4 linked regions of the Stegostoma tigrinum genome follow. Each later gene encodes a partner of the first gene's protein in a complex. Links are inferred from orthologs where the notes say so. Each region holds a gene or a part of one and is shown on either strand. Other genes may lie near its edges. The genes, in order: ahi1, tmem231, mks1 and b9d2.

Region 1 (7,637 bases):
ATCTGTATTGGGTTCTCAATTATTCATGTTATTTATTAATGACTTGGATAATGGAATAGAAAGTCACACATCCAAATTTGCTGACGACACAGTTAAAGGTGGCATTGCAGACAGTATTGATGTTAGCATAAAATTACAAAGGAATATTGATAAACTAAGTGAATGGGCCAAACTGTGGTATGGAGTTCATTATAAGCAAATGTAAGATTATTCATTTTGGACTGAAAAAGTATGGATCAGGGTACGTTCTGGATGGTAAGAAGTTAAGTATAGTTAAAGAGACTTGACGGGTTCAGATGCATTGATTTTTATAATGTCACAAACTGGTGCAAAAATTAATCAAGAAAGCTAAAGGAATGCTGGCCTTTATTGTCTTGAGGGGTACAGTAGAAGGATGTAGAAGTTATGTTGCAGTTATACAAACTCTGCTTAGGCCTCAGTTGGAGAGGTGTGAGTGGACCTGGGCATTACACTTTATGAAGGATATGTTGGCCTTGGAGGTAGTACAATGTAGGTTTACAAGAATGATACCTGGACGTCAGGAGTTTATTTACCAGGAATGATTATACAATTTATACCTGTCTTCTCCAGAATTTAGATGGTTAAGGGTTGATCTGATTGAAGTTTTCAAGCTATTAAACAGGAAAATACAGAGTAGATGTGCTGGATCGCGGCATGTGCCTAAGTGATTCTTTCAGATTCAGGTTAAGAGAAGGCTCAACAACAGCAATTTGCTTAAATACAAATGTTTATTAAATAATAAATTATTATAATAGTAGTAGTAAATGATTATAGCAGTGATAATAAATGGAAGCGAAGAAAAAAAGCAAAAAGTCTCAAGTTCCTCTGCCCTCTGGAGACCCCTCGATCAATGTCTGGTCTACAGGCTTAGGTTCATTCCTGGCACCATTTACGAAGCCGGTCTTATGTTAAGTCCATCAGCCATGGAACAAAACTTTCACACTCTCATACAGTATTACAAAACAATCAGGACAGAAAACAACAGATACAACAGACAAAACAGCTGGCTCATTCAGAAAACAAGTTTTTTTTAATTGTGCTGTCTGTGGCACTCATCCAAGGTCATGCAGCTTGTTGAATATCATCAACAATTTTAGTCTTTCAGCATATCCTATATAATCCACCCCAATGATATATGACAGCATATGTTAGAATTACAGATGCAGACACACATCAGCGACAGCCACACAAGAATGTACAATAAACACCTACACTAGAAGATTAAAGCTACAATGAAAATAACTAGCATCGATACAAAGAATAGAACGATGGGGTGTATCGTCAAATTGATCGCAGTTCCCTTTGGGGACCTACCTTAAAATATATACATGTAGAAACAATACACCAAGGGTTGTGTGCACGCGTACACGCGTACACACACACACACGATGTGCTGTCCAGTGGAAACAAGGGTTATGGGGATAAGGATACTGATTGTGGATGATCAGCCATGATCATAATGAATGGTGGTGCTGGCTCGAAGGGCCGAATGGCTACTCCAGCACCTATTGTCTATTGTCTAAAAGAACAACCAAGTGGTGCCACCTGGTTGAGGTGACCAGAATATCCTCTACATTCTTAGTTAGTTATTCTATTTACATAATTTGCTCTACAGTTCAGTATATTCCAGATTCAGGTTCTTCATTTGTGTTTTTTTTTCAATTTTCTATCCACAGACTCCTGCTTAACGTGTGTCTTCGCTTGTTGTTTTTTCCACATACACTAATTGCCCTAACATATTTCAATTTCCCCTACTGGTTTAGTCACAAGAACATCCCAACCAGACTCATCCACCTACCATTTCCCGGTGACTCTACATTTCCCCATGTCTAATCCACCTAATTTACACACCCCTGAACACTACAGGCAATTTAGCATGGCCAATCCACCTGACCTGCACGTCTTTGGACTGTGGGAGGAAACCCACACAGCTACAGGGAGAATGTCTGTGTGGAGTTGGCACAGTCACCTGAAGGTTGAGTCGAAAGTTAAAAGTTAAAAAGTTAAATTTTTACCAAACTTTACGAATCAAAATTTTGACTCAACATTGTGCAAATTTTGGCTTTACACAACCACTAATGGTTTCTTAAAAGGTCATTACATTAACCGTATATGCTCCACACAAATAAAGGCACCCAATGCACTTTCAAATCACCAGAGACTCCCAAAATGCTGACTCAACGTCAAATTATCTCCGGCTGTAAAGCTCCAGGAATCAAAAAGACACAAATTATGTGAGGCGACATTCAGCAACCAACGAAGGTGCATTCAAACTAGACCACGAAGAGTTAACACTTCTACAATGTTCAGTGCACAGTGCCCCAGTTATAACTGTCTCCCACACATTTGGGGGCCCTAAAAGGGAGCTGCACCGGTGCCAGACTGAATTGCTTCTAATAATGCAGTTCATGCCTCTTCTATATTCATAGTTTAGTTTTTATGGAAAATCTGGAAAAGGAGGAGCACAAGTGTTTGGTACGTAGAAATGGTAGGCAGGTTTGAAGCACATAAATTATGTGAGATGCAATCACCTTATTTCATAGCAGTAACATCAATTTGAAAAGAATCTGAAAGTTGAACTTGGACTGATTGCAAAGGACACAGATGTGTTACTTGACTGATCACATGAAGCAGCCAATCCAGATTGGAGGATTTGGGCTAATAAATATGTTAAGAGAATGGATATTTCTAAGCACATTTTGAACTGTTTCAGAATGGTATTAATGAGGTATGAGACTACTTTCCTTACTCTGTTTTTTTTTAGCACAGATATTTTGGGGGTGAAATGCTCTTCCACAGTAGCATTTAGCAATATTCATCCAGACTATGAGTTTTGCCAGATTTCACATGAGAATTGCTTGGCTTCCCCTAAGGAGAAACTGACAAACTTCACGGAAACCCAGGTTCAACAGACTAATCAGTGGCTGTTAAATAGATGCTGAAACCTTCAAAATGTATTCATCTATGTTGTACGGTCTTAAATCCATCACCTGGTTAACTGCGAAAGTTCCTGAAGAATAAGTAGCAAAGTGACCACTGCATTATTGCGATAGCAAGCATAAGCTGGCTTCTTGGTGTACAGCAGTGATTCCTCTAGGGAGGAGATGTAGACAGTCAATGCATATGATTTTTCAAATGTAAGATTTGTCAAAGCCATCATACCTGTTGGTGTCTGGTTTGAATGAGGAACTCACAGGTTCCTTCATACTTCTTTCCTTTTACCCTTACATCTGATGCAAGAGCTTCATTCTGCTGACCTGCCTGCTCTGTTCCTTCCGTTTTGTCAACTGCAGAGTGTGATTCCACCAGGACAGCAATCGGTAGGGAACCCCCTGGTTTTGCAACAAATGACAACACCTTCTGGTTTCCGATAACAAGGTGTAGAGCTGGATGAACACAGCAGGCCAAGCAGCATCAGAGGAGCAGGAAAACTGACATTTCAGGTCTACATCCTTCAGTCTCCAACCATTTTAACTCCCACTGCCAGGGTGACATGTCCATCCTGGGCCTCCTCCAGTGTCGCAATGACACCACCTGCAAACTGGAGGAGCAGTACCTCGTATTCTGCCTCGAGAGCCTACAGCCCATGGCCTAAATGTGGACTTAATCAATTTTAAAATCTCCCCAGACCTGCCTCATCCCATGACCAATGTTCCCACTCATCCCAGCCTCCATGACTTGACACAACCAGTCCATCTTCTCTCCCACATATCCATTCCTCCCACCTCACTGACCAATCCCTGCCACTGCCTGCTTACACTTACCTGTCACCATCCCCAACGCTCCTCTATTTATTTCTGAGCTCCTTTCACCCTCCCCCATTTCTGAAGAAGGGTCCTGACCCAAAAAGTTAGCTTTCCTGCTCCTCTAATGCTGCCTGGCCTGCTGTGTTCATCCAGCTCCACACTGTTGTCTCTGACTACAGCACGTGCAGTTCTTGCAGTCCTCTCAAAGGAGTCGCAGTGTAATCTATTTGGTGACAAAAGCAAAATAGAACAAGTGCTAGAAATCAGAAATTAAAGCAGAAACTTCTTAAAATACTCTAGTTCTGTGCAGCAAAAACATTCAATGGTTCCAGTGAATGTTTTATTATGAACATGCAATAAAACTTTTATTTACAAATACCATGCAGTTAAATCTACAGTCAGCAACCAACAATAAAACGATTAAAAAGCCAAATGTGGTAAACATTCATCATTCCTTACAACATCTGAAAAACTCATGCAACAAGAAACGGTGATGGAAAATAGAACAGTTCACAAACTGAAAGACACAACTAGAAAGGTTTGTTCCCATCCTCTATTGAAAGCAACATTTCCGGGTAGCAGTAAGACCAGTGAACTATTCAAGGAAAAAGTGCAGGATTTTAAAACTGTCATCAAAGACGCTTTAACAAGAATGTGGCCGCAAACTGAGACCTCCCCGAACTGGGGGGCTTTCCCAAATGAACTGACCCCTCGCTAACTCGGGCTTTACCCTAACCTGAGGTTTATTTCCCAGTTGGTTGAATGTGATTGCCTTTGGCGGCCGGTCCGGGCGCAACTTGAGCACGTGATTAGAGGAGGTGAGGCGAGATGATTGTGACGGAGCTGGTGCCGCGCCCCCTGGCAACAGTGGGAGGAGGAGTAGTGACGCTGGGAACGGACACCGCGGGCCGCTGATGCCGAACCGGTTGTAGCGTCACTTCCTACAGTCAGGTCAGTAACCGGCGATAACCCGCGTCTCCCCCATTGGTGCTTTCCGTCTCGGTGTAAGGCCGTCCTGCCGTTGCTAGGCCACGTCTCAAACAGTGGGGGTGAGTTTAATTTGGGGCCATTACGCCTCGCCTCTACCACCCCACTTCTCCGACCACTCCCGCACCATTTCACCCTCTAACCCCCATCTGCCCCCCTCTCTCCCTCCTATCTATCCCCCTTCCTCTGACACACTTGTTCTCCCTTGGATCACTGTCTGTGATCGTGTTCCCTCCCGGATCACTGCCTGGGATCTTGTTCTCCCTGGGATCATTCTCTGGCACCATGTTCTCTCCAGGATCACCGTTTGAGATTGTGTTCTCCTTGGGGTCACTCTCTAGTATCGTGTTTTCCCTGAGATTGCTATCTGGGATTGTGTTCTATCTGGGATCACTGAATTGTCCTGTTCTCCTTGAGATTGCTGTTTGCAGTCTTGTTCTGTCAGGGAACACTGGCAGGGATTGTGTTCACTCTGAGATTGTGTTCTCCCCAGGATCAATCTTTGGGATTGCGTTGTCCTTGGGATTTGTCTCTGGAATCTGTTTCTGGAATCATGTTCTCTCTGAGATTGTGTTCTTCACTGGGATCCTGTTCTCCCTGGGACCTGTTTCTGGAACGGTGCTCTCCGAGGGATCATTCTCTGAGATCTTGTTTTCCCTGAGACCACACTGTAGGATCTTGTTCTCTATGGGATCATGTTCTCTCCAGAATCGTCTGTCTGGGATCTTGTTCTCCCTGGATCACCTGTTGGATTTGTGTTCTGTCAGTGATTACTGTCTGGGATCATGGTCTTTCCAGGATCACTGTCTTCAGTCTTATTCCTAGACGTAATTCAGAAATTATTGTCTTCTGGAATTTTAAAGCAGTGGTAAAGAGATCTGTCAAAAATTAAGGAAGAACATAACTGGAGATGAACGAGACAAAGTCGACAATAAAAACTGGAACCTTCCCCAAACACCAATCAAGTAAGGGCTTCAGCGGACACATGTATAGTAACACCCAATCTTCAATCATACAAGTAGACCGAATTTGAAATCTATTTGTATGTATATTTCTCATTGTTTACGGGCACCATAGAGGGAATAAGTTCATGCTAATTTTTTTTAAAATTAGATTCCCTACGGTGTGGAAACAGGCCCTTTGGTCCAACAAGTCCACACCGCCCCTTGATATATCCCACCCAGACCCATCCCCCTATAACCCACACGCCCCTGAACACCATCGGCAATTTAGCATGGCCAATCCACCTGGCCTGCACATCTTTGGACTGTGGGAGGAAACCGGAGCACCTGGAGGAAACCCATGCAAACATAGGGAGAGCGTGCAAACTCCACACAGGCAGTTACCCGAGGTTGGAATCGAACTTGGGTCCCCTGGCACTGTGAGGCTGCAGTACTAAGCACTGAGCCACCAAGTCGAATTAGGAAAATCAGAATGGCTATTTTTATGGGATTAACTGAGAAATACCAGGGATATGTGAAAGGCAGGGCCAATACAACAAAGTAGTACAAGTATATAAAAATAGGATAAGGGCAGGAAAATAAATTAAACATCAGGGGAGTAACTTTGAGATGAAATAATTAATTTAGCAAGTAAATCAAAGTAAGTGTGTTTAAGCCATGGCTGCTTCGTTCAGTGAAGTGAAATGTGTCACCTTGGAAGTCCTGAACCCTACTACTGCCTTAGATGACCACGTGTGCAGCAAGTCTCCCAGCTGCAGAAACTCAAACTTAAGATTCAGAGCTTGAGTAATGGCTAGACATTGGTATGTTCTCAAGTGTGAGGGCTACATGGCTCACACATTTAGAGAGGTTGGCAAACTGCAGTTTACATGAATAACAGGAATGGACAACCACCAGACCGTCCAAGAGGAGAAGGCAGACAATCTCCTGGGGTACTGCCCACAAATCGGTTTTCTGTTTTGGAAACTGATGGGTGCTGGTCCTCAAGGAGATGTAGTCAGAGCCAAGCTTCTAGCACTGTATGTGGCTCAACTGTACATGAGTGGAGGAAGAAAACAGGAGTGATAATGAGAGACAATTTGTTATGTGTGGTAATAGATGGGCATTTCTATTGCTGTCAACGTGACTACAGGATGGTAAATTACCTCCTGATGCCAGGGTCAAAGATGTCACACAGCAGCTTCAGGGTATTATTCTGAGGGAGGGCGAACACCCGGAAGTTGTGGTCTGTGGTGCCAGTAACTTGGATAGGAAGGAGGATTGGCCCTTCAAACAAAATTTATGGAGCTGGGTCCTCAACTGCAGTTTTTTCTGGATTACTTTGATTACCCATATACGAGTGAATACAGAAAAAGGAGGATAATGCGTATGTGTAATTAGATAAATGGTGCAGGAAAGATGGCTTTAGATTCCCGGGACACAGGGACTTGCTGTGGAGGACATAGCAACTGTACAAGCTGGACTGATTGCAGCTGAGCAGATCTAGGACTGACTTCCTTGGGGGTGTTTTTCTGGTGCTTTTGGGAGAGCCTTAAACTAACTTGGCAGGGCTGTGAGTACCAAGGGAGCATAGTAGAAGAGAATACCAGGATTCATAGGGTACTAGTAGCACTAATACAGTGCATGCCAAATTAATCATGAATTTGGAATAAGGAAAAATGAAATGAAGTCCTAAACACGGTTAACATGAATATATCCAAGTACACAGGATAGAATACACGTGGTTTGGGTGGAAATATAATGAGGTGATAACTGAGACCTGGCTCAAGGAAGGGTAAGATAGAAAAAGAAAGAAAGGAGGGTAGAAGTATTTGTTAAGCAGGACATTGCAGTGATGGAAAAAGAGGATTTCTGAAAGGTTCAAGGACCCAGTCAATTTGGCTAGAGCTAAGGAGCTCAAGGTGTACAACTAGATTGCTTG
Region 2 (7,208 bases), on another chromosome or scaffold:
TATCATTCCAGTGGAATCCTGAAAACATCTCCCAAATAGTATTGTGGGTGTGCCTATCAAAAGAACTGCAGCAGTAACAAAAGCAGCTCATCACTACTTTCTCAAGGGCAACTACGGATAGGTAATGAATGCCGCCCTAGCTGGTGGCTTTCACATTACATTAATGAATAGACACCGAATGTTAAATTCTGTCCTATTGGAGATGGTCATTGCTTGCCACTTGTACTGTGAGATTGTTACTTACCACCTATTAGTTCTAGTCTGCAATGCTGCATATGGGCACAAATTATGAATAATTCTGGACATTTGTTCACTGATGATTGCACGCTCACTTTTAACCCTGTGATGGACAGAAGGTCACTGATGACACAGTGAAGGTGTTTGAGATTAGGACACTAGTCCCGGGAATGAGATGTTTGGCCTCTAACAATTACAACCTTTTCATGTATGACTCCATTCAGTGAAGAGCTTGCTCTCCAGTTCCCACTGTACCCAGTTTTATTCAGGCTCCTTGATGCCTTACTGAGTTGAATGTTGCCTTCATGTGAAAGGCAGTCACTCTCAATTCACTTTAAGTCCAGTTCTTTGTTCATATCTGAATTAAGATTGTAATGACATCAGGAGCTGAGTGGCCTTGGCAGAATCCAAAGTGAACATCAGTGAGCAGATCATTGCTGAACAGGTGCTACCTGACAGCAACAATTAATTACAGCAGCTTTGTTCTTCCCAATATTAGTTGGAGGAAATTTCTCTTCAACATGTACTTTATATCAACCAAGCAGTCTGGGAATTTTTAGACAGCATGAAGGGGTCATGACAGATAGTAGTGGGCTAGAACTGGGTTCAGCAAGCAAACATGCAGAATCTCACACCCTTTTCAAATGTGTCACCAAGTGGCAGCACATGGATAAAAGAAATGAAAAAAGGAGATAGTAAGAACTGCTGATGCTGGAGTCAGAGCAGAAATGCTGGAGTCAGAGCAGAAAAGCTGATGTTTCAGGTCGGGAGCTTTCTTCAGAAATCTGAAGAAGGGCCTTGACGCAAAACGTCAACTTTCCTACTCCTCTGATGCTGGCTGGCCTGCTATGTTCCTCCAGGTCCACACTGTGTTATGAATATTAGGAGACTGGGAACAGGAAGTCATGCAAGTGATTTGCTGGCTATAATTAGATAGCTATAATTGTAACCAGGCAAGTGCAATCCCACAACTGGATGGCATGGAGTGATGTTACTGGGGAATGGCTTGGTCAACCAGACAAAAGATGCAGACCGGTAAAGAAGGACAAGAAGAGATATTTTGCCTATCCATATCCATCTCAATTTCACTAAACATAGCCTATCACTCCCACATTCAGACATTCTGAATGTCAATTTTGAAGACAACAATCTCAATTTCAGGAGATCATTTATTTTACTTTTTAGGGTATCTAGTGGCATAGTGGTCATGGCAGTGGACCAGAGACTCAAGCTAATGCTCTCTTGACCTCATTTTAAATCCTACCATTGGCACTTGGTGGCGTTTAAGTTGAATTCATGAATCTAGAATTAAAAGCTGGTCTTGGGGTGACCATGAAACTATCATTGACTTTGTAAAAGTCAATCTAGTTCACGAATGTTCTTCAAGAAAAGAAATCTGGCATCCTTACCTAGTTTGGTCTACATGCGAATCCCTGATGTGTTTCACTCATAATTGCCCACTGAAAAAGGCTAGCAAGTCACCCAGTTCAAAGACAATAAATGCTGCCCTTGCTAGTAATGTACAGATCCAATGATAGAATTTTACAAAACTGTAAAATGGTTTCCAATGCAGAAGCAAAATGCGTTCAAATTCAGACAACTATTTACAAGCCTCTACCCATTCATGAAAAAATACCAAACAGAACATATAAAAGGGAGCGAGAGTAGCTCAATCATTTATGGGGAATCTTCCATTCCTATTCCACTTTCCTGCAGTTTCCCCATATGTATTAATAACCAAAATCTATTGCCATTTTAACACCACCACATTCCCAAACCGATGTCTCAGGCTTGCTCCAGCAAAGCTCAGAGCAAGCTCGAAGAACAGCATCTTATTTTCTACTTTATCACATGAACTGCCACCATATACAATCCACTTTCAGCCACTAACAGTCTCCATTAGCAGCAATTGATTCTCCCAGGCTGACCTTTACCCATACTTCTGTCTGCCTATCTATTTTTCCCTCAATTTCCATCTCCATCTCCATCTATCATTCACTCCTCACTCCCCACTCCCCACCAAACAACCAAACGTTAAAACCTTTGACTGCAATGAAATTTCACTTCAAATCAGTCCTTCAAATATTCAAACCTCTATTCTGAGGTGGTGATTTTGAACTCCAAACTTGCCAGCAAGGGGAAATCATCTTCCCTGCACTGACCGCATCATATCTCTTTAGGATTTTGTATACTTTAGTGAGATCTCATTCATTTAAATTCTAGTTAACACAGACACAACCTATAAATTATTCTTCTAGGAAAACCCCTCATCCCGGGAATCAGTCTAATTACCCCCTAAAGCAAATATTTACTTTCTTTGCTAAAAAGATCAAAATTACACAAAATTCTCCAGTAATGGTCCCACCAAAGGTTCCATAAATCGTACTATTTCCCTCACAAACATAATACGTCATACAATTAGCTTCATTTACACCAAACCGTAGAAACAACAATAAAAACCACATCACTCAGATTTCTAATTCGAACATATCTAAGAAAGTATTTAAGTAGGCCAATGGTCTGTCAGCAGACTGAATTAAATCTCTTACCATGACTCCTGAAGGCAACCAAAAGCGGCGGGATGTACGTCAGCGCCACGACTATCAATAAGAACAACGTAGCTTTGGTGAAAATGCTTGTTTTGTAACGAATTAAAGACGGGTGCGAATAAACTTCGTAGATGGCCATTGGTAGCCGAGTGTTCCTGGAGAAACCACCACTTCGATTCAAGTTTGGCGTCAGCTTCCCAGGGCAACTGTCGTCAGGCCGCGCGGTGAGAGGCGGGGCTATCGCGACTGATAGCGGTACCGCCCAATCACAGGACGACAGGGTCCGGCCTTCGCCGAGATCCATCCAATCAGAGCTGGAGGGCGATGTCGTTCCCCCCCCCCCGCTCACCCCGACCCGCAAATCTCATTCAGAACTCTGTGATAATGGGAACTGCAGATGCTGGAGAATCCTTGATAATAAAATGTGAGGCTGGATGAACACAGCAGGCCAAGCAGCATCTCAGGAGCACAAAAGCTGACGTTTCGGGCCTAGACCCTTCATCAGAGAGGGGGATGGGGGGAGGGAACTGGAATAAATAGGGAGAGAGGGGGAGGCGGACCAAAGATGGAGAAAAGAAGATAGGAGGAGAGAGTGTAGGTGGGGAGGTAGGGAGGGGATAAGTCAGTCCAGGGAAGACGGACAGGTCAAGGAGGTGGGATGAGGTTAGTAGGTAGGAGATGGAGGTGCAGCTTGGGGTGGGAGGAAGGGATGGGTGAGAGGAAGAACAGGTTAGGGAAGCAGAGATAGGTTGGACTGGTTTTGGGATGCAGTGGATGGAGGGGACGAACTGGGCTGGGATGTGTTGCAGGAAATGCGGGAGACGCGGTCAAGGGCCACTGTGGGGGGAAAGTTGCGGCCCTTGAAGAACTTGGACATCTGGGATGTGCGGGAGTGGAATGCCTCATCGTGGGAGCAGATGCGGCGGAGGTCCTTCAAGGACCGCAAATTCCCCCCCACAGTGGTCGAGAACGCCCTTGACCGCGTCTCCCGCAACACATCCGTCACACCCCGCCCCCGCCACAACCGCCCAAATTGGATCCCCCTCGTTCTCACACACCACCCCACCAACCTCCGGATACAACGCATCATCCTCCGACACTTCCGCCATCTACAATCCGACTCCACCACCCAAGACATTTTTCCATCCCCACCCCTGTCTGCTTTCCGGAGAGACACTCTCTCCGTGACTCCCTTGTTCGCTCCACACTGCCCTCCAACCCCACCACACCCGGCACCTTCCCCTGCAACCACAGGAAATGCTACGCTTGCCCCCACACCTCCTCCATCACCCCTATCCCAGGCCCCAAGATGACTTTCCATGTTAAACAGAGGTTCACCTGCACATCTGCCAATGTGGTATACTGCATCCATTGTACCCGGTGTGGCCTCCTCTACATTGGGGAAACCAAGCAGAGGCTTGGGGTCCGCTTTGCAGAACACCTCCGCTCGGTTCGCAATAAACAACTGCACTCCCAGTCGCAAACCATTTCCACTCCCCCTTCCAGTCTTTAGATGACATGTCCATCATGGGCCTCCTGCACTGCCACAATGATGCCACCCGAAGTTTGCAGGAACAGCAACTCATATTCCGCTTGGGAACCCTGCAGCCCAATGGTATCAAGTGGACTTCACCAGCTTCAAAATCTCCCCTTCCCCCACCGCATCCCAAAACCACCCCAGTTCGTCCCCTCCCCCCACCGCATCCCAAAACCAGCCCAGTTCGTCCCCTCCCCCCACTGCACCACACAACCAGCCCAGCTCGTCCCCTCCCCCCACCTCATCCCAAAACCAGTCCAACCTGTCTCTGCTTCCCTAACCTGTTCTTCCTCTCACCCATCCCTTCCTCCCACCCCAAGCCGCACCTCCATCTCCTACCTACTAACCTCATCCCACCTCCTTGACCTGTCCGTCTTCCCTGGACTGACCTATCCCCTCCCTACCTCCCCACCTATACTCTCCTCTCCACCTATCCTCTTTTCTCTCCATCTTCGGTCCGCCTCCCCCTCTCTCCCTATTTATTCCAGAACCCTCACCCCATCCCCCTCTCTGATGAAGGGTCTAGGCTCGAAACGTCAGCTTTTGTGCTCCTGAAATGCTGCTGGGCCTGCTGTGTTCATCCAGCCTCACATTTTATCATTCAGAACTCTGCTTGATCGTTCTCAGAATCGTAGGTTCGTCCATGCGCTGAGGGAGGCAATTAAGACCGTAATGTCTGTGCTCGCTCTCTGAAAAAACAAATCACTCGAGTGCTAATCCCCACTTGTTCCATGTACAGTTCCTCCTTTTTCAGATAATAAGATTAGATCACATGAAATACAGGGAGAACTAGCCATTTGGATACAGGAACAAAAACAAAGTTGCTGGAAAATCTCAACAGGTCTGGCAGCATCTGTGGAGGAGAAACCAGAGTTAACGTTTCAGGGTCCGGTGACTGTTCTTCAGAACCATTTGGATACAAAGATAATTGGAAGTTGACAAAGTGTGGAGCTGGATGAACACAGCAGGCCAAGCAGCATCTTAGGAGACAGAACTGGTTCAAAGGTATACTACAGAGGGTGGTGGCAAAGTGCTGCTTTTCAGAGTTGGAGTCCCAGTGATGTGCCACAAGGATTAGTGCTGGGTCCATTGCTTTTCATCATTTATATAAATGATTTGGGTGTGAAGATAGTTGGTAGGGTTAGTAAGTTTGCAGATGACACCAAAATTGGAGGTGTAGAGGAAAGTGAATAAGGTTACCTCAGATTACAGCAGGATCTTGATCAGATGGGCCAATGGCCTGAGGAGTGGCAGATGGAATTTAATTTAGATAAAGGTAAGGTGCTGCATTTTGGAAAGGCAAATCAGGGCAGGACTTATATGCTTAATGTAGCCAGTGTTTTCCCCGGGATAGTTGAATCTAAAACTGGAGGGCTTAAGTTTAAGGTGAGAGGGAAAGGATTTAAAAGGGACAACTTTTTTCTCACAGAGGGTGGTGCATATATGGAAATGAGCTGCCAGAGGTAATGGTGGAGGCTGGTACAATTACAACATTTAGAGGGATATAGGCCAAATGCAGGCAAATGGGACCAGATTAATTTAGGATATCTGATCAGCATGGATGAGTTGGACCAAAGGGTCAGTTTCCAAACTGCAGCTCTATGACTCTGTACTTTTTCATTATAACAATCTAAATTGTGCTTGAATGCATCAACTGAACCAGCTCTTTACCATTGTGGCAGCTCACACAACTTTACCTCCAGTTACATGTAAAAGATTGTCTTCAAGTCACCACAAGTTGTCATTTCATCAATCACCAACAATCACAATTGTTCACTTACGGAATTCCATGTCGCTGTTTATTGGTCCTGTGAATTCTTGCATAGCTAATAAATCCAATCCTAGAACTTCCTGTTCTACCACACATTTGGTAGATGTTTTTAGGTGATGGAATTGGTCCTTGGCTTTGAGGTCACTGGCACTTCTTTCTTTAGTTAGTTTCCAGACTTCCTCCCGCTGATGGGTGTTCTCAAAGAATTGTGCCCATTCAAATAGGACCTTCCTCCAAGTCAGTTGCTTCTAAACAAAGGTCCTTCCATACATTGACATATATGATGTATTTCTTGGGGTAAGTCTTCAGGGAGCCTTTGAAATGCTTCCTTTGTCCTCTTCTTGCTCAAGTGCCTTCCTCAAACTGGGCAAAGATGATTTGCTCTGGCAGTCAAAGCTCAGGCATCTTAAGCGAGTGGCAGTCCAAAACAGATGGTTTTTGGATCATCGTGGTCTTGATGCTGGTGTTCTTGCTTCATGGATGCTGATGTTAGTTCACTTGTCCTCCCAGCTGATCAGAGAATCTATCTCAAACAGCATTGATAGTACTTCTCAAGGACCTTGAGTTGGTGTTTATACATTGTTGAAGTTTTGGAGCCAAGTAGAACAGTCAGAAGGATGACTGCATTATACAGAAGGGTTTTAGTATCAGCGCAGATGTCACGGTCATCCATGTCATTGATGTCAGCCATAGATGACAGCTATCTTCCCAGGTGGGGGAAATCTTCCACATTTGGGAGGATTTCTCTGTTGTTCTTAATGGATGGATGGACAAGAACTTGACTTGCGACAGGTGATAAAAGATTTGAGTTATCTTTAGGGTGAGGCTGAAACCAATTCTTCAGTAAGCTTCCGTGAAGGCATTAAGCAAGGATTGAAGATTGTCTTCTGAGAGACTGGAGATGACATTGTCAACCAGTTGAGTTGAAAGTTTTTCATCCACTTATAAACAATTTCCACACCACTGGGAACTTTACTTTTGACAAGATAAAGAATATCACCAGGGATATCAAAGGGACTGTCTTTAGCTAATTACTTGAAATATGTTCTCTCTGGTTCTCAAACTTCTTTTATAGTGCAATTTGATGGCGCATGGGGTTTAGGCTCAAGACAGG
Region 3 (6,930 bases), on another chromosome or scaffold:
GGTGGGGAGGTAGGGAGGGGATAGGTCAGTCCAGGGAAGACGGACAGGTCAAGGAGGTGGGATGAGGTTAGTAGGCAGCTGGGGGTGCGGCTTGGTGTGGGAGGAAGGGATGGGTGAGAGGAAGAACCGGTTAGGGAGGCAGAGACAGGTTGGACTGGTTTTGGGATGCAGTGGGTGGGGGGGAAGAGCTGGGCTGGTTGTGTGGTGCAGTGGGGGGAGGGGACGAACTGGGCTGGTTTAGGGATGCAGTAGGGGAAGGGGAGATTTTGAAACTGGTGAAGTCCACATTGATACCATATGGCTGCAGGGTTCCCAGGCAGAATATGAGTTGCTGTTCCTGCAACCTTCGGGTGGCATCATTGTGGCAGTGCAGGAGGCCCATGATGGACATGTCATCTAGAGAATGGGAGGGGGAGTGGAAATGGTTTGCGACTGGGAGGTGCAGTTGTTTGTTGCGAACTGAGCGGAGGTGTTCTGCAAAGCGGTCCCCAAGCCTCCGCTTGGTTTCCCCAATGTAGAATAAGCCGCACCGGGTACAGTGGATGCAGTATACCACATTGGCAGATGTGCAGGTGAACCTCTGCTTAATGTGGAATGTCATCTTGGGGCCTGGGATGGGGGTGAGGGAGGAGGTGTGGGGACAAGTGTAGCATTTCCTGCGGTTGCAGGGGAAGGTGCCGGGTGTGGTGGGGTTGGAGGGCAGTGTGGAGCGAACAAGGGAGTCACAAGGATCCTCCAACACTTCCGCCATTTACAATCCGACCCCACCACCCAAGACATTTTTCCATCCCCTCCCCTGTCTGCTTTCCAGAGAGACCACTCTCTCCGTGACTCCCTTGTTCGCTCCACACTGCCCTCCAACCCCACCACACCCGGCACCTTCCCCTGCAACCGCAGGAAATGCTACACTTGTCCCCACACCTCCTCCCTCACCCCCATCCCAGGCCCCAAGATGACATTCCACATTAAGCAGAGAGTCACCTGTACATCTGCCAATGTGGTATACTGAATCCACTGTACCCGGTGCGGCTTCCTCTACATTGGGGAAACCAAGCGGAGGCTTGGGGACCGCTTTGCAGAACACCTCCGCTCAGTTCGCAACAAACAACTGCACCTCCCAGTCGCAAACCATTTCCACTCCCCCTCCCATTCTCTAGATGACATGTCCATCATGGGCCTCCTGCACTGCCACAATGATGCCACCCGAAGGTTGCAGGAACAGCAACTCATATTCCACCTGGGAACCCTGCAGCCATATGGTATCAATGTGGACTTCACCAGTTTCAAAATCTCCCCTTCCCCTACTGCATCCCTAAACCAGCCCAGTTCATCCCCTCCCCCCACTGCACCACACAACCAGCCCAGCTCTTCCCCCCCACCCACTGCATCCCAAAACCAGTCCAACCTGTCTCTGCCTCCCTAACCAGTTCTTCCTCTCACCCATCCCTTCCTCCCACCCCAAGCCGCACCCCCATCTACCTACTCACCTCATCCCACCTCCTTGACCTGTCCGTCTTCCCTGGACTGACCTATCCCCTCCCTACCTATACTCTCTCCACCTATCTTCTTTACTCTCCATCTTCGGTCCGCCTCCCCCTCTCTCCCTATTTATTCCAGTTCCCTCCCCCCATCCCCTCTCTGATGAAGGGTCTAGGCCCGAAACGTCAGCTTTTGTGCTCCTGAGATGCTGCTTGGCCTGCTGTGTTCATCCAGCCTCACATTTTGTTATCTTTAAAGGACACCAGCTGTGTTTCTGGATTAACAGTCTAGTGATAATACCATTTTTAGGACGAATAACAGAAGTTGCTGGAAAAGCTCAGCAGGTCTGGCAGCATTTGTAAAGAAAGCAAAATCAGAGTTAACGAATGCCCCTTCCTCCTTTTAGGACATCGCCTTCCCATACTGAAACAGCAAAACATTTTCTATTCTTTTATCCTATATATGCCACAGCTGAATGCTCCAACCCACATTAATATGACCTACCACCTCACTCTACACAGTCCTCAGACATTAAACACAATCATTCCCCGTCCCTACATTAATGTCATTTACAACAAAATAATTAATTATTCTCACAATGGGCCCTGACCCTGCGTTTGTCTCACTCCTACTCCTGCCCCCAGGATATGCTATTCTCATTCCACTCCACTCCAAGGGGGAAATAATAAAAAACCCTTCATCCCGCCCCGCCCATACCGGATTCGGAGATTTTTCACCGGGTCGAGGGTCCGGTAAACCGCCTCCACCCGCTCACTGCCGCACTCCGCCATAGCCGCGGTTTCCTTGGTAACGGAGCAGGCCTCAGGCCTCCTGCAGCTCGTGTCGGAGCGGATCCCCGCGTCAGCTCCAGCTGCGGGCTGTGCCCCAGCCCGGCTCAGGCAGCAGCGGTCGTGGCTCTCACGTCTCCCGGTTATCAACTGTACAAACGCTGTAAGTCCCGATAATTCAAGCTGACATTTCCATCACTGTCCCTCTGCAGATGATTATCTGAAAAAGGGTCCAGACCCGAAACGTCAGCTTTCCTGCTCCTCTGATGTCGCTTGACCTGCTCCGTTCATCCAGCTCTACGCCTTGTTACCTCTGCAGACCCTTCTCCTCGTCGACCACCAACTCAAACTGCCGTAACTTGCACAGTCTGTCTCCCCAGAATCGTTCACTCTTTTTGGGTTTGGCCCAATCACATAAGATGCCCTTCTACAAGGGCACCAGCAATTAGCGTTCACATTACAGAAAAGGAAATTTAGCAAACTAAAGGAGAATATTTTCTCTTCAGTGGGTCCAGTGTTCCAACAGTACCCAGGGCAAATTCAACCATACCCATGGCTGTTGGGTGCTATTTGGTAGCAATCATTGCTTGTATAGAATCACACTTGTACTTCATAGTATTTACAGCCCAATCATTTTAAGTCTTTATCTCGATCAAATGCATCCCCCCCCCCTTACTTCATTTCAACTCATCAGTTTAACATCAGTTAACCTGTCTCCCATATGTCAACATACATAATTGGAGGAGTAGGCCACCTGGACTCTTGAACCTGCTCTGTCATTTACTAAGATCATGTGTGATTGCAGTTTAACTCCACACGATTGCTTAAAATGAGCCATTGCACTTTATTAGCTTTATTTATTTCTCCAAAGATACTGCCAAACCTGCTGAGTATGTCCTGAATGTTGTTTTAACATTATCACATTGATTAAAGAATTTTCCCCAAAATTCCTTACTAAATTTATTAGTTTGTCAGCCTCCCAACTCACAAGGCGGTTGCTTGCACTTTGGTGGTCAACTCTGTTAAACATCACTTACTGTGATGCAGAAGTATTACTCCAGCACAGTAGGCTCGTCCATAATCGCTCAAGCCAAACAGCAACACACCAGGGAATTCCTGGAAGCCTGGTATTCTAACCAAACTCCATCAACAAACACATTAGTTTGTACACAGGGTCTAATTCACTGAAAAACACAGCTGGAAGTGGTACCAAACACCCCAACAAACTGAGACATATGAATAACAAGCCAGACAGAAAACCAACACTTCACCAGAGGTGCACTGACGATATTATCTAGCAGGGTGATGATACATTTGCAACCAGCCCACCAGTTCAGCAAGCATGTCTACAACTTCATCCACAACCCAAGATACAGATCTTGTCGAAAAATTTAAACTGTAGTCTCTGCCTTTAAAAACTTGGTTTTCCCTGGGCCCACTTCTAGGCTAGCTGATCTTCCCATTTCTTCTCGCCTCTTCTGCTTTCCCTCTGAATAATCATCCTCAGCACTCAGTGGCTGTCTCCTAATTGCCTACATCAATGTTTGCTGTTTTCATTTGTAAGTATGTTGTTGCAGAGGTATGGACATCCAGCAGATGTTCATACAGTGACTTGGAGATAGTAAAGACTGCAGATGCTGGAAGGGTTTTAACCGGAAACATTGACTTCCCTGCTCCTCAGATGCTGTGCTTTTCGAGCTCCATATTTATTGAGATTAGACTCAATGTCCAGTTTACCACATAAGTCATCATCTATCCAACATCATTACCAAGTCACTACAGATTTTTGGTAATGTGTATATCTATCACAAACCAGGATCTCAGAGTCAGTGATTTTTGTCTTGCCAAGAGATGCTGAGGATACAATTGGGACAGCAGTTCCTCAGCTTTTAACCCTGCCTACCATAAGTAGTCCTGATCTCACTACTATACAGGACTTCATAGAGGTCACAAGCTTAGAAGATTTGCAGTTTGGTGTTGTCAAATTACTCTAGTTTTACGCTATATTTATGAATGGTTATGTTGTATTTATGGCCCTGTATTTTGGATTATTCCACAAGTGAAAATATCTTCTCCACCCCATTAAGCTCCTTTAAAATCTTAGGCCTCAATCCAATCACTTCTGAATCCAGAGAAAAGCTTGTTTAGTCTTCCATGGTAGTTGTAACCTTTCAGTTCTAATGCAAAATAAATCCTACAAGAATACATCTCCAAAAGTTACTTTACACTCCTTTTGCAATAATGGAAACCAGATATTTGCCCAGTATTCCAATATGTGGTCTAAATTTCAATACAAATCTAACACTAATAAGTTAATTAAATACAAAAATATAAGCTCTGAACCTGAATGTTTTATTTGCATTTTTAGAGCTTTGTTAACCAGCACAGTTAATTTTCATGATTTGTGAATTTATACCACATTAACTTATTTTGCAAGATAACTTCCTTATTTTTCCTACCAAACCACAGCACCTTACACCCATCATTTGTCACTTACATGCCCAATCTGCACGTTACCATTTGTTATATTTTATCAGTATAAACAAAACCTCTAATTTGGTGGTAAACATTTATATAAATAATAGATAATAATAGTTGCAAACAGCATTCTGTGGAACACTAGGTTGTCAGTCTGCTCCTTCAGTTCCTAACCTCAATTTAGTCAGGAATCCACTTTGGTCTTTTGAAATCTCAGGTACATTGCACCAAACTGCATTAACCTTGCCTATTGTGTCTATGTGGGGTGGCATATCACATTACAAATCGCAAGTTTAAATTTACCAGATGTATTATAATCACCTAGAATATAAGAAGTCAAAGTATAATAATGCACTTTTTAATGCATTGCAACACTTTATTTTCACAAGCATTTCAAAAAGCAATCTAAATAGTCATTTAGGTTTTACAATATGAAAGGCAACACTTCCGAGGTAAAAAAAGTATTTTTAAACATCATGGTTTGCATCTTTAGCAAATTTCTATCACTGAGGCACGCCAGTGATTTGTTTCTGTCTCCATATTCATGAACAGGAGACAGATTTTGAAGTCAATAACACAGCAAAGGCAATAGGAGAGAATCAGCACTCATTTTATAGTGCTTCACTAAATATCAGAAAATAACTTTCAGTAAGTGCTTTATCCTAAACAGTGGAGTTTGCAAATGGCCATAATACACAAATACTTTAAAAATATACACATGTGCTTATACCAATTGCCAAGGCTGGTGCTTACCATTTGAAAATTTTAAAAGAAAATATAAACATCTAACTGAAAAACTATTGTTTAGAATTTGGGATATCCAATAGAATCAAATTGGTCATTTTGTAAAACTGAATGCTCTATAAGTGGTGTTTCTAAAGTCTGCCACTATGAATAGAGTGCAGTCTAAGCACCATATTCCACCTGACAATGTATATATACCCTTCAAATCATTTCTTTGGAGCGTCATACTGCAAAAGCATGACAAATTATTAACATTCTTTCTCCATGGCTGGGCAAATTTACTTGAGGCAAAAAAAAGCCGGAAATAGCACTTGCAATAAAGTTCAAAGTTTTTCTTAAATTATGAAAGGAATTTAATTACATTTTTGAATCATTTAAAACAGAGTTCAAGTGATTCACAAATTAATTATTAATATTGGCTGCAATGCAAAAAGATGTATCATACACTGAGTGCATGGACTTTCCTTAAGCAATGCCTATTGCCTCTCTGAACTAATACTAATGAAGGCTTTTTATACAGACAACATTTAGAATCCCTCATCAACATTTGTGTTGTCTGAGATTGAAACTCAACTACTTTTCCAAACAAATCAGAACTATCAGTATTTAACTTAACGATACATGTTCCAGTACAACACAAAAATGAATTGTCCATCATATCATAGGAAAATTAATTTACTATAATTCAAACCTTATTTTGAAAAAAAAGTGAGCCTGTTTGAATGCTCCAGAACATTCTGGCTGGTTTCCATTCCATTGCACAAATGCCATAAATACAAAGCAAACTTTACACATGTCCTGGACTAAAAGCAAACAGTAACAAAAATGACAGTTACCTTCAAATAGAGCAAGCTAAGTGGAATAGCAAAGAAAAATATTCAATGTACAAATTGATCAGTCTATTTAGCTCTTTGTATTCAAAAATATAACTCTTATGCATTTTTCTTCAGAAATTACAATCTTTTAATAGGTTTCACATTGTCCTGGCTTCACTTCCATGAAAAGCAAAATCTGTATCAACAAGATAGGTGTCTCCATATTGTAATTAGGAAATCTCTGTTCTTCAGAAACTCTGAAAGAGAACCCAGTGGTTAAAAGATCCACTATATAAAAGGAGCAAGAAGCTAGGTACATAATCTCCACTGGGCTGGGGAATTGGTGGGATGGGGTCTGTGGATGAGATACGGTAAGAGGCCATACTGTAAACATACTTGCCTTTTTCATATAAAGGACATGTCTTTAACACTTTCAAGATCCCCCCCCCAAAAATGAAGCTAAAACATACAAATTATTCACTGGGGCATGTGCTAAAAGTTATAATGTTAGGATTAAGAAGTAGTGAAGTGGAATACAGATGCAATACACAAGGACAAAATACTGAATTAGCCAAAACAACACTATGCAATATGTAACTGAAATTTGGGGTACTTACAACTTCAAT
Region 4 (7,737 bases), on another chromosome or scaffold:
TATCATGGTGGCCAAATGATACAACAGTAACAGAATTGTAGACTAATCTTTCCAGTTGATCATGATGAATTAGTTTAGCAAGCACCTGACATGACAAGGAAAAACTGAGATGGTTCCACTCAAGCAAGCTTACCATATTTAAAGATAACACAGTGTGGAGCTGGAGGAACACAGCAGGCCAGGCAGCATCAGAACAGCAGGACAGCTGACATTTTGGGTTGGGATCCTTCTTCAAATCTGAAGAAGGATTCCAATCCAAAACGTCAGTTCTCCTGCTCCCCTGATGCTGCCTGGCCTGCTGGGTTCCTCCAGCTCCACACTGTGTTATCTCAGACTCCAGCAATGGCAGTTCTTACTATCTCTCACCATATTTAAAGTTTTGGCAAATATCTGTAGCTTGGGTTGTGGATGAGGTTGTTGACTTGCTCACTGAGCTGACTTGTTTTTGTTCATACTTTTTGTCACGATGAGCAACGGACCAGACAGTTTAAATTCCAAGTGGAGTAGAATAACATCGCTTCATCGGTGACTCCACTGATGATGTCACCTAGCATGGTGACAAAACGTCTGAACAAAAAGAAGTCAGCTCAAGTTGGCTTGGTGAGCAAGTCAACAATCTCAAGCTTACCACATCTCTCAAAAGTACTCCTATAACCTAATACAGAACATTATTTTCTCAAAGACATTTTTCTAATTTACACATGGACATCACAAGGCTATGAAAGACAATTTAATGAAGATAAAATATGTTTCTGAGATGTGTTGATTGGAAATTTAAAAAAAAAATCTGCTTGTGGAAAATTTAAACAGACTAGAGCTAATAAATCTGGAAATATAAAGCTAGTGTCAAAAACAGTGACCATGACTACTATTATGCATGGTCATACAAGCCCAGTGATTCTCTATAATGTCCCTTATTGAACAGAATCCTTACTTGGTCTGAACTATAAACCATTTTAAGTCCACGTCTCTAACAGGAATCAAGCAGAGCAGATGCCAGCACCCCTGCTGTACTACCAGGAAATGCAGTTTAGCAGGGAGGTGCTAACAACAGTAATGTTGTAACTTGCGATCCAAAGTATCCCCATACACACTTTGGGGACGTGGTTTCGATCCCATCACAGCAGCTGGTGGAATTTAAATTCCATTAATAAATTTGGACAGTAAATCTAAATAACCCATGATGGTGATTATGAAACTATCATTTTTTGGGGAAGAAAATCTGTTATCCTTACCCATCTGGCCTACATGTGTTTCCAGACCGACAACAACATATTTAACTCTTAACAGCCTTGCAAAATGGTCCGAGCAAGCCCCTCAGTCAAGGGCAATTGGGGATGGGAAACTAATTCTGGCCTTGGCAGATAAACGTAGAAGAAATTAAATGTGGCACATGATACTCATGTTTCTCAACATCCTCCATTCCTCTCCCAACACACACATCAGCAAGAGTCTCACCTGTCTGCAGCCCCCATTTACAGAACAGGCTGTTATGCGGGAAACCACTTGCTCCAACAATCTGTCCGATAATATGCAGCTCAGCCATCTTCCTGCAAAAAAAGAATATTAGGCTATGTACAAACTGCACCCTCAGCCAAACAGAGAGCAATCACACTCCCTGGTATCAAACATTACTTCCATTCTTCTGGCTAAACAGATTTCAGGTCAAGCACCCAACGAACCAGGGAAACATACCCACAGATAAAAATTGTCAAAAATGATTTTTAAAATTGCAAACTCTAAAAGGTATTGTTGAGGGTTAACTCAAATTCCTTCATTCCTTTCAATTCTTTCATTCCTACTCCAAGGTTTTCAGAGCAGGCAAAGCTCAGGAACTCTCAGTTCCTCAAACTACAAATATGCTTTATAAAGTATTTTGAATATGGTTGACATAGGAGGTCATTTGTGTCAGTGCCATCTCTTTCCAACAGCAACTTAGCATGTCCCATTCTCACATAGGCATACAAAGCTTTTCAAATAATTATCCAATTCCAAAGCCTTAAGTGAGTTTGCCTCCACGAAACCGTAGTGCATTCCCGACACTCAGCATGAAAAAAAAATTTTCCTTATGTTTCTTTTGATTCCTTGAAATGCCGGGAGTAGAGGCAATGCCATACAGCAAACTGATTTTTGTTTACAAGTGCTTCAGCACAAATAAGGTCAACAAAAACATAACAAGAGAGGAGTAGGCCATATGGCCTTTCAAACTTGCTCCATCATTCAATATGATCCTGGCCGATGATCCATCTCAGTCCCGTGTTCCTGCTTTCTCCTCATACCCTTTGATCCTTACAGCCCCAAGAACTACATGAAATAATCAATGCAATCAGTTCTTAGGATGGGCCACTCAACTCGAAACGTTAACTCTGGCTTCTCTCCACAGATGCAGCCAGATCTGCTGAGCTTGACAAGCAAATTCTACTTTTGTAATCAATACAATCCATTGTTTCAATGCTGTCCCTGACCTGGGAATGTTTGATTGACACAGTGTTGAGGCTTCAGTTTAATAAGTAAAGGCCGATTTACTCTGCGATTAACCCCAAACTGTTGCCCATATCGTTTTCTGATGGAGAGTAGTGAGTGAAGAAAAGAAACTCAGCAGGTCTCGAAGAATCGGTGGGCAGAGAAACAGTTAACATTTGAATCCAGTGATCTTGCTGGATGTTTTATATTAGCTGTTCTTGTTAATTTAGTTATTCTGGTTATTTTAAACAGACTCCTGCCAGATGTAGGCCCGGTCCTAACCATGATTGACATGCTGACCCACCAATCGGAACGTAGCCACTCGACGGATCAACCAATCAGCATCAAGAAGAGGGGCACTGCGTTTCGCGTGACATCCGTGAAATGTCCCCGTTCCCTTCGTCTTCCTTAATTCTTTATCTCTTGCCCGTAGTCTCGATCTATCTCTCTCTTTCGCTCTCTCCTCCTCTCCCAGTCTTCTTATTCGCTAACTATTTCTCCGCTACCGCCATCGATGCCTCAGCTCTTGGCAACCAAGTATTGTGCTCGCCTATTGGCTGGAACGCAACGGCATTCAGCCAATTGGATATGTATGGGGCGGGGCGAGGTCAAGCATCGGCTGAAAACCCACCCCCATTCCAGAGCTTTTCAACATTCCCCCTCCACCGCCCCCAAACCTCCTCTCACCCCCCAACGTACCCCCTCCACCGCCCCCAAACCTCCTCTCACCCCCCAACGTACCCCCTCCACCGCCCCCAAACCTCCTCTCACCCCCCAACGTACCCCCTCCACCGCCCCCAAACCTCCTCTCACCCCCCAACATTCACCCTCCACCGCCCCCACACCTCCCAACGTACCCCCTCCACCGCCCCCAAACCTCCTCTCACCCCCCAACATTCACCCTCCACCGCCCCCACACCTCCCAACGTACCCCCTCCACCGCCCCCAAACCTCCTCTCACCCCCCAACATTCACCCTCCACCGCCCCCACACCTCCCAACGTACCCCCTCCACCGCCCCCAAACCTCCTCTCACCCCCCAACATTCCCCCTCCACCGCCCCCACACCTCTCGCCACCCCCCAACATTCCCCCTCCACCACCCCCTCTCCTCACCCCCCAATACTCCCCCTCCACCGACCCCTCCTCTCACCCCCAACATTCCCCCTCCAATGCCCCCTCTCACCCCCCAACACTCCCCCTCCACCGACCTATCCTCTCACCCCCAACACTCCCCCTCCACCGTCCCCTCTCCTCTCACCCCCAAACATTTCCCCTCCAACGCCCCCTCTCCTCCTATCACCCCCCAACATCCCCCCTGCACTGACCTATCCTCTCACCCCCAACACTCCCCCTCAATCACCCCTGTCCTCTCTCATCCCAACACTCCCCATCCACCGCCCCCACACCTCCTCTCACTCCCCAACATAACCCCTCCACCGCCCCCGCTCACCCTCCGGCATTTCCCCTCCACCGCCCCCACACCTCCTCTCACCTCCCAACAGTCCCATTCCACTGCCCCACACTTCCTCTCAAACCCCAATACTCCCCCTCCACCACCCCCACTCCTCCTCTAACCCCCCAGCATTTCCGCTCCACTGCCCCACACCTCCTCTCAAACCCCAATACTCCCCATCCACTGCCCGCACACCTCCTCTCATTCCCCCACGACCACCCCCTCTCCTACTCTCACCCCCCAACACTCCGCCTCCACCGCCCCCTCTCCTCTCACCCCCCAACATTCCCCCTCCACCGCCCCCAAACCTCCTCACACCCCCCAACACTTCCCATCCACCGCCGCCACACCTCCTCTCACTCCCAACACTCACCCTCCACCGCCCCCACTCCTCTCACCCCCAACATGCCCCCTCTCCTCCTCAAAAACCCCAACATTCCCCCTCCACCGCCCCCACTCATCCTCTCACAGCCCAACATTCCCGTTCCACCTTTTGTCCTTCACTGCCCCCGCTCCTCCTGTCACACCCCAACATTCCTCCTCCACCTTTAATCCTTCACCACCCCCTCTCCTCTCAGACCCCAACATTCCCCCTCCACTCTTTATCCTTCACCGCCCCCACTCCTCCTCTCACACTCAAACATTCCCCCTCCACTCTTTATCCTTCACCGCCCCCACTCCTCCTCTCACACTCAAACATTCCCGCTCCAGCCTTTATCCTTCACCGCCCCCGCTCCTCCTCTCACACCCCAACATTCCCGCTCCACCCTTTATCCTTCACCACCCCCACTCCTCCTCTCACACCCCAACATTCCCGCTCCAGCCTTTATCCTTCAGCGCCCCTGCTCCTCCTCTCACACCCCAACATACCCCCTCCGCCTTTTAACCTTCACCGCCTCCGCTCCTCCTCTGTCACCCTAACATTCCCACTCCACCCTTTATCCTTCACGGCCCCCGCTCCTCCTCTCACACCCCAACAATCCCCCTTCATCCTCTGTGCTTCACTGCCTCTGCTCCTCCTCTCACACCCCAACATTCCCGCTCCACTCTTTATCCTTCAGCGCCCGCGCTCCTTCTCTCACACCCCAACATTCCCGCTCCACCTTTTATCCTTCACCATCCCCGCTCCTCCTCTCACAGCCCTACATTCCCCATCCACCACCCCCACTCCTCCTCTCGCATCCCGACATTCCTGCTCAACTCTTTATCCTTCACTGCCCCCACTCCTCCTCTCACACTCAAACATTCCCGCTCCAGCCTTTATCCTTCACCACCCCTGCTCCTCCTCTCACACCCCAACATTCCCCCTCCACCGCCCCCGCTCCTCCTCTCACACCCCAACATTCCCCCTCCACCGCCCCTGCTCCTCCTCTCACACCCCAACATTCCCCATCCACTGCCCCCGCTCCTCCTCTCTCACGCCAACATTCCCACTCCACCTTATATCCTTCACCGTCCCCGTTCCTCCTCTCACAGCCCAACATTCCCGCTCCACTCTTTATCCTTCAGCGCCCCCACACCTCCTCTCACACCCAAACATTCCCGCTCCACCCTTTATCCTTCACTGTCCCCGCTCCTCCTCTCACTCCCCAACATTCCCCTTTCCACCTTTTATCCTTCAGCGCCCCCACACCTACTCTCACACCCCAGCATTCCCGTTCCACCCTTTATCTTTCACCGGCCCCATTCCTCCTTTCACTCCAAACATTCCAGCACCCTTTATCCTTCACCGACCCGCTCCTCCTCTTACTCCCCAACATTCCCCTTTCCACCTTTTATCTTTCACCACCCCCGCTCCTTCTCTCACACAGCAACATTCCCACTCCACCTTTTATCCTTCACCATCCCCGCTCCTCCTCTCACAGCCCTACATTCCCCATCCACCACCCCCACTCCTCCTCTCGCACCCCAACATTCCTGCTCAACTCTTTATCCTTCACCACCCGGACTCCTCCTCTCGCACTCCAACATTCCTGCTCCACCCTTTATCCTTCAGCACCCCCACTCCTCCTCTCACACCCCAACATTCCTGCTCCACCCTGTATCCTTCAGCACCCCCACTCCTCCTCTCACACCCCAACATTCCTGCTCCACCCTTTATCCTTCAGCACCCCTGCTCCTCCTCTCTCACCACAACGTTCACTCTTCACCTTTTATCCTTCACCGCCCCCGCTGCTCCTCTCACTCCCCAACATTCCCCTTTCCACCTTTTATCCTTCAGCGCCCCCACACCTCCTCTCACACCCCAGCATTCCCGCTCCACCCTTTATCTTTCACCGGCCCCATTCCTCCTTTCACTCCAAACATTCCAGCACCCTTTATCCTTCACTGACCCGCTCCTCCTCTCACTCCCCAACAATCCCCTTTCCACCTTTTATCTTTCACCGCCCCCACTCCTTCTCTCACACCGCAACATTCCCGCTCCACCTTTTATCCTTCACCATCCCCGTTCCTCCTCTCACAGCCCTACATTCCCCATCCACCACCCCCACTCCTCCTCTCGCACCCCAACATTCCTGCTCAACTCTTTATCCTTCACTGCCCCCACACCTCCTCTCACACCCAACATTCCTGCTCAACTCTTTATCCTTCACCGCCCCCGCTCCTCCTCTCACACCCCAACATTCCCACTCCAGCCTTGATCCTTCACCGCCCTGCTCCTCCTCTGTCACCCCAACATTCCTGCTCCACCCTTTATCCTTCAGCACCCTCGCTCCTCCTCTCTCACCACAACGTTCACTCTTCACCTTTTATCCTTCACCACCCCCGCTGCTCCTCTCACACCCCAACATTCCCGCTCCATCCTTTATCCTTCACCGCCCCCGCTGCTCCTCTCACACCCAAACATCCCGCTCCACCCTTTATCCTTCACCGCCCCCGCTGCTCCTCTCACACCCAAACATTCCTGCTCCACCCTTTATCCTTCACTGCCCTCGCTCCTCCTCTCACACCCCAACATTCCCCCTCCACCTTTTATTGTTCACCACCCCCGCTCCTCCTTTCACACCCCAACATTCCCCCGCCACCCTTTATCCTTCACCGTCCCCGCTCCTCCTCTCACACCCCAATGTTCCCCCTTCCACTTTTTATTCCTCACCGCCCCCACTCCTCGTCTCACATCCCAACATCCCCTCTCCACCTCCCCCATTCTTCCTCCCTGTCTTTTGGGGTGGTTGGTTCTGCTGCCTTATAGTTCCACGGACGCGGGTTCAGTTCCCACCTTCAGGTGACTGTCTGGAGTTTACATACCCGCCCACTCCGTGTCTGTGTGTGTTTTTACTCAGTGTTCCAATTTCCTCCCACGGTCCAAACGTGCAGATTAGCTGGATTGGCCATAGTGTCCCAGGATGTGTAGGCTCAGCGATTAGCTGTTGTTAATGCAGGGTTATGGGAGAAGGGCTGCATCTGGGTGCTATGTTGTTTGGAGAGTCGATGCAGGCTGAACGACTTCTTTCTGCACTGTTGGGATTCTGTGATTCTCCTACATCCCTCTATTTAACCCGTCCGTCTACCCAACCCCATTCTCCCTGTTCCCTCTGCCCTCACCTGTAACCCTCTTCCTGCTTCTCCTCCGTGTCCAAACTATTTTCAAAACTTCTGCCAACCCTTTTCGCATCATGATCTGATCCGAAAATACTTTAAAGGACATCAAGGCTTCCGGTGTGAAACAGATTACAAGAATGCTAGCAGGGATGAGAGGAGTACATTATAAACTAAGAACATGCAATTATAGAGCATCTTCCTTGATCTCTGGACATCCCAATATGCTTTACAGCCAATGAAATAATTTTGGAAGTGTCATCTGTGGTGTGGTAGGGAA

The links.
Region 2: ahi1 (region 1) and tmem231 share a complex: the UniProt entries of both Homo sapiens proteins name them as parts of the tectonic-like complex. The link is inferred for Stegostoma tigrinum from reciprocal best matches to the Homo sapiens genes AHI1 and TMEM231.
Region 3: ahi1 (region 1) and mks1 share a complex: the UniProt entries of both Homo sapiens proteins name them as parts of the tectonic-like complex. The link is inferred for Stegostoma tigrinum from reciprocal best matches to the Homo sapiens genes AHI1 and MKS1.
Region 4: ahi1 (region 1) and b9d2 share a complex: the UniProt entries of both Homo sapiens proteins name them as parts of the tectonic-like complex. The link is inferred for Stegostoma tigrinum from reciprocal best matches to the Homo sapiens genes AHI1 and B9D2.

The regions. Positions count from the first base shown.
Region 1 is NC_081357.1:43,904,894-43,912,530, reverse strand, and holds the start of ahi1 (jouberin), read left to right. Parts: upstream 1-4,615; 5' UTR 4,616-4,718; exon of another isoform or gene 4,719-4,816; intron 4,817-7,637. UniProt on the Homo sapiens protein: Involved in vesicle trafficking and required for ciliogenesis, formation of primary non-motile cilium, and recruitment of RAB8A to the basal body of primary cilium.
Region 2 is NC_081369.1:41,520,816-41,528,023, forward strand, and holds the start of tmem231 (transmembrane protein 231), read right to left. Parts: upstream 3,016-7,208; 5' UTR 2,926-3,015; coding exon 2,787-2,925; intron 1-2,786. UniProt on the Homo sapiens protein: Transmembrane component of the tectonic-like complex, a complex localized at the transition zone of primary cilia and acting as a barrier that prevents diffusion of transmembrane proteins between the cilia and plasma membranes.
Region 3 is NC_081380.1:13,790,998-13,797,927, forward strand, and holds the start of mks1 (Meckel syndrome type 1 protein), read right to left. Parts: upstream 3,018-6,930; 5' UTR 2,271-3,017; coding exon 2,197-2,270; intron 1-2,196. UniProt on the Homo sapiens protein: Component of the tectonic-like complex, a complex localized at the transition zone of primary cilia and acting as a barrier that prevents diffusion of transmembrane proteins between the cilia and plasma membranes.
Region 4 is NC_081392.1:8,436,340-8,444,076, reverse strand, and holds the start of b9d2 (B9 domain-containing protein 2), read right to left. Parts: upstream 3,015-7,737; 5' UTR 2,768-3,014; intron 1,551-2,767; exon of another isoform or gene 1,547-1,550; coding exon 1,459-1,546; intron 1-1,458. UniProt on the Homo sapiens protein: Component of the tectonic-like complex, a complex localized at the transition zone of primary cilia and acting as a barrier that prevents diffusion of transmembrane proteins between the cilia and plasma membranes.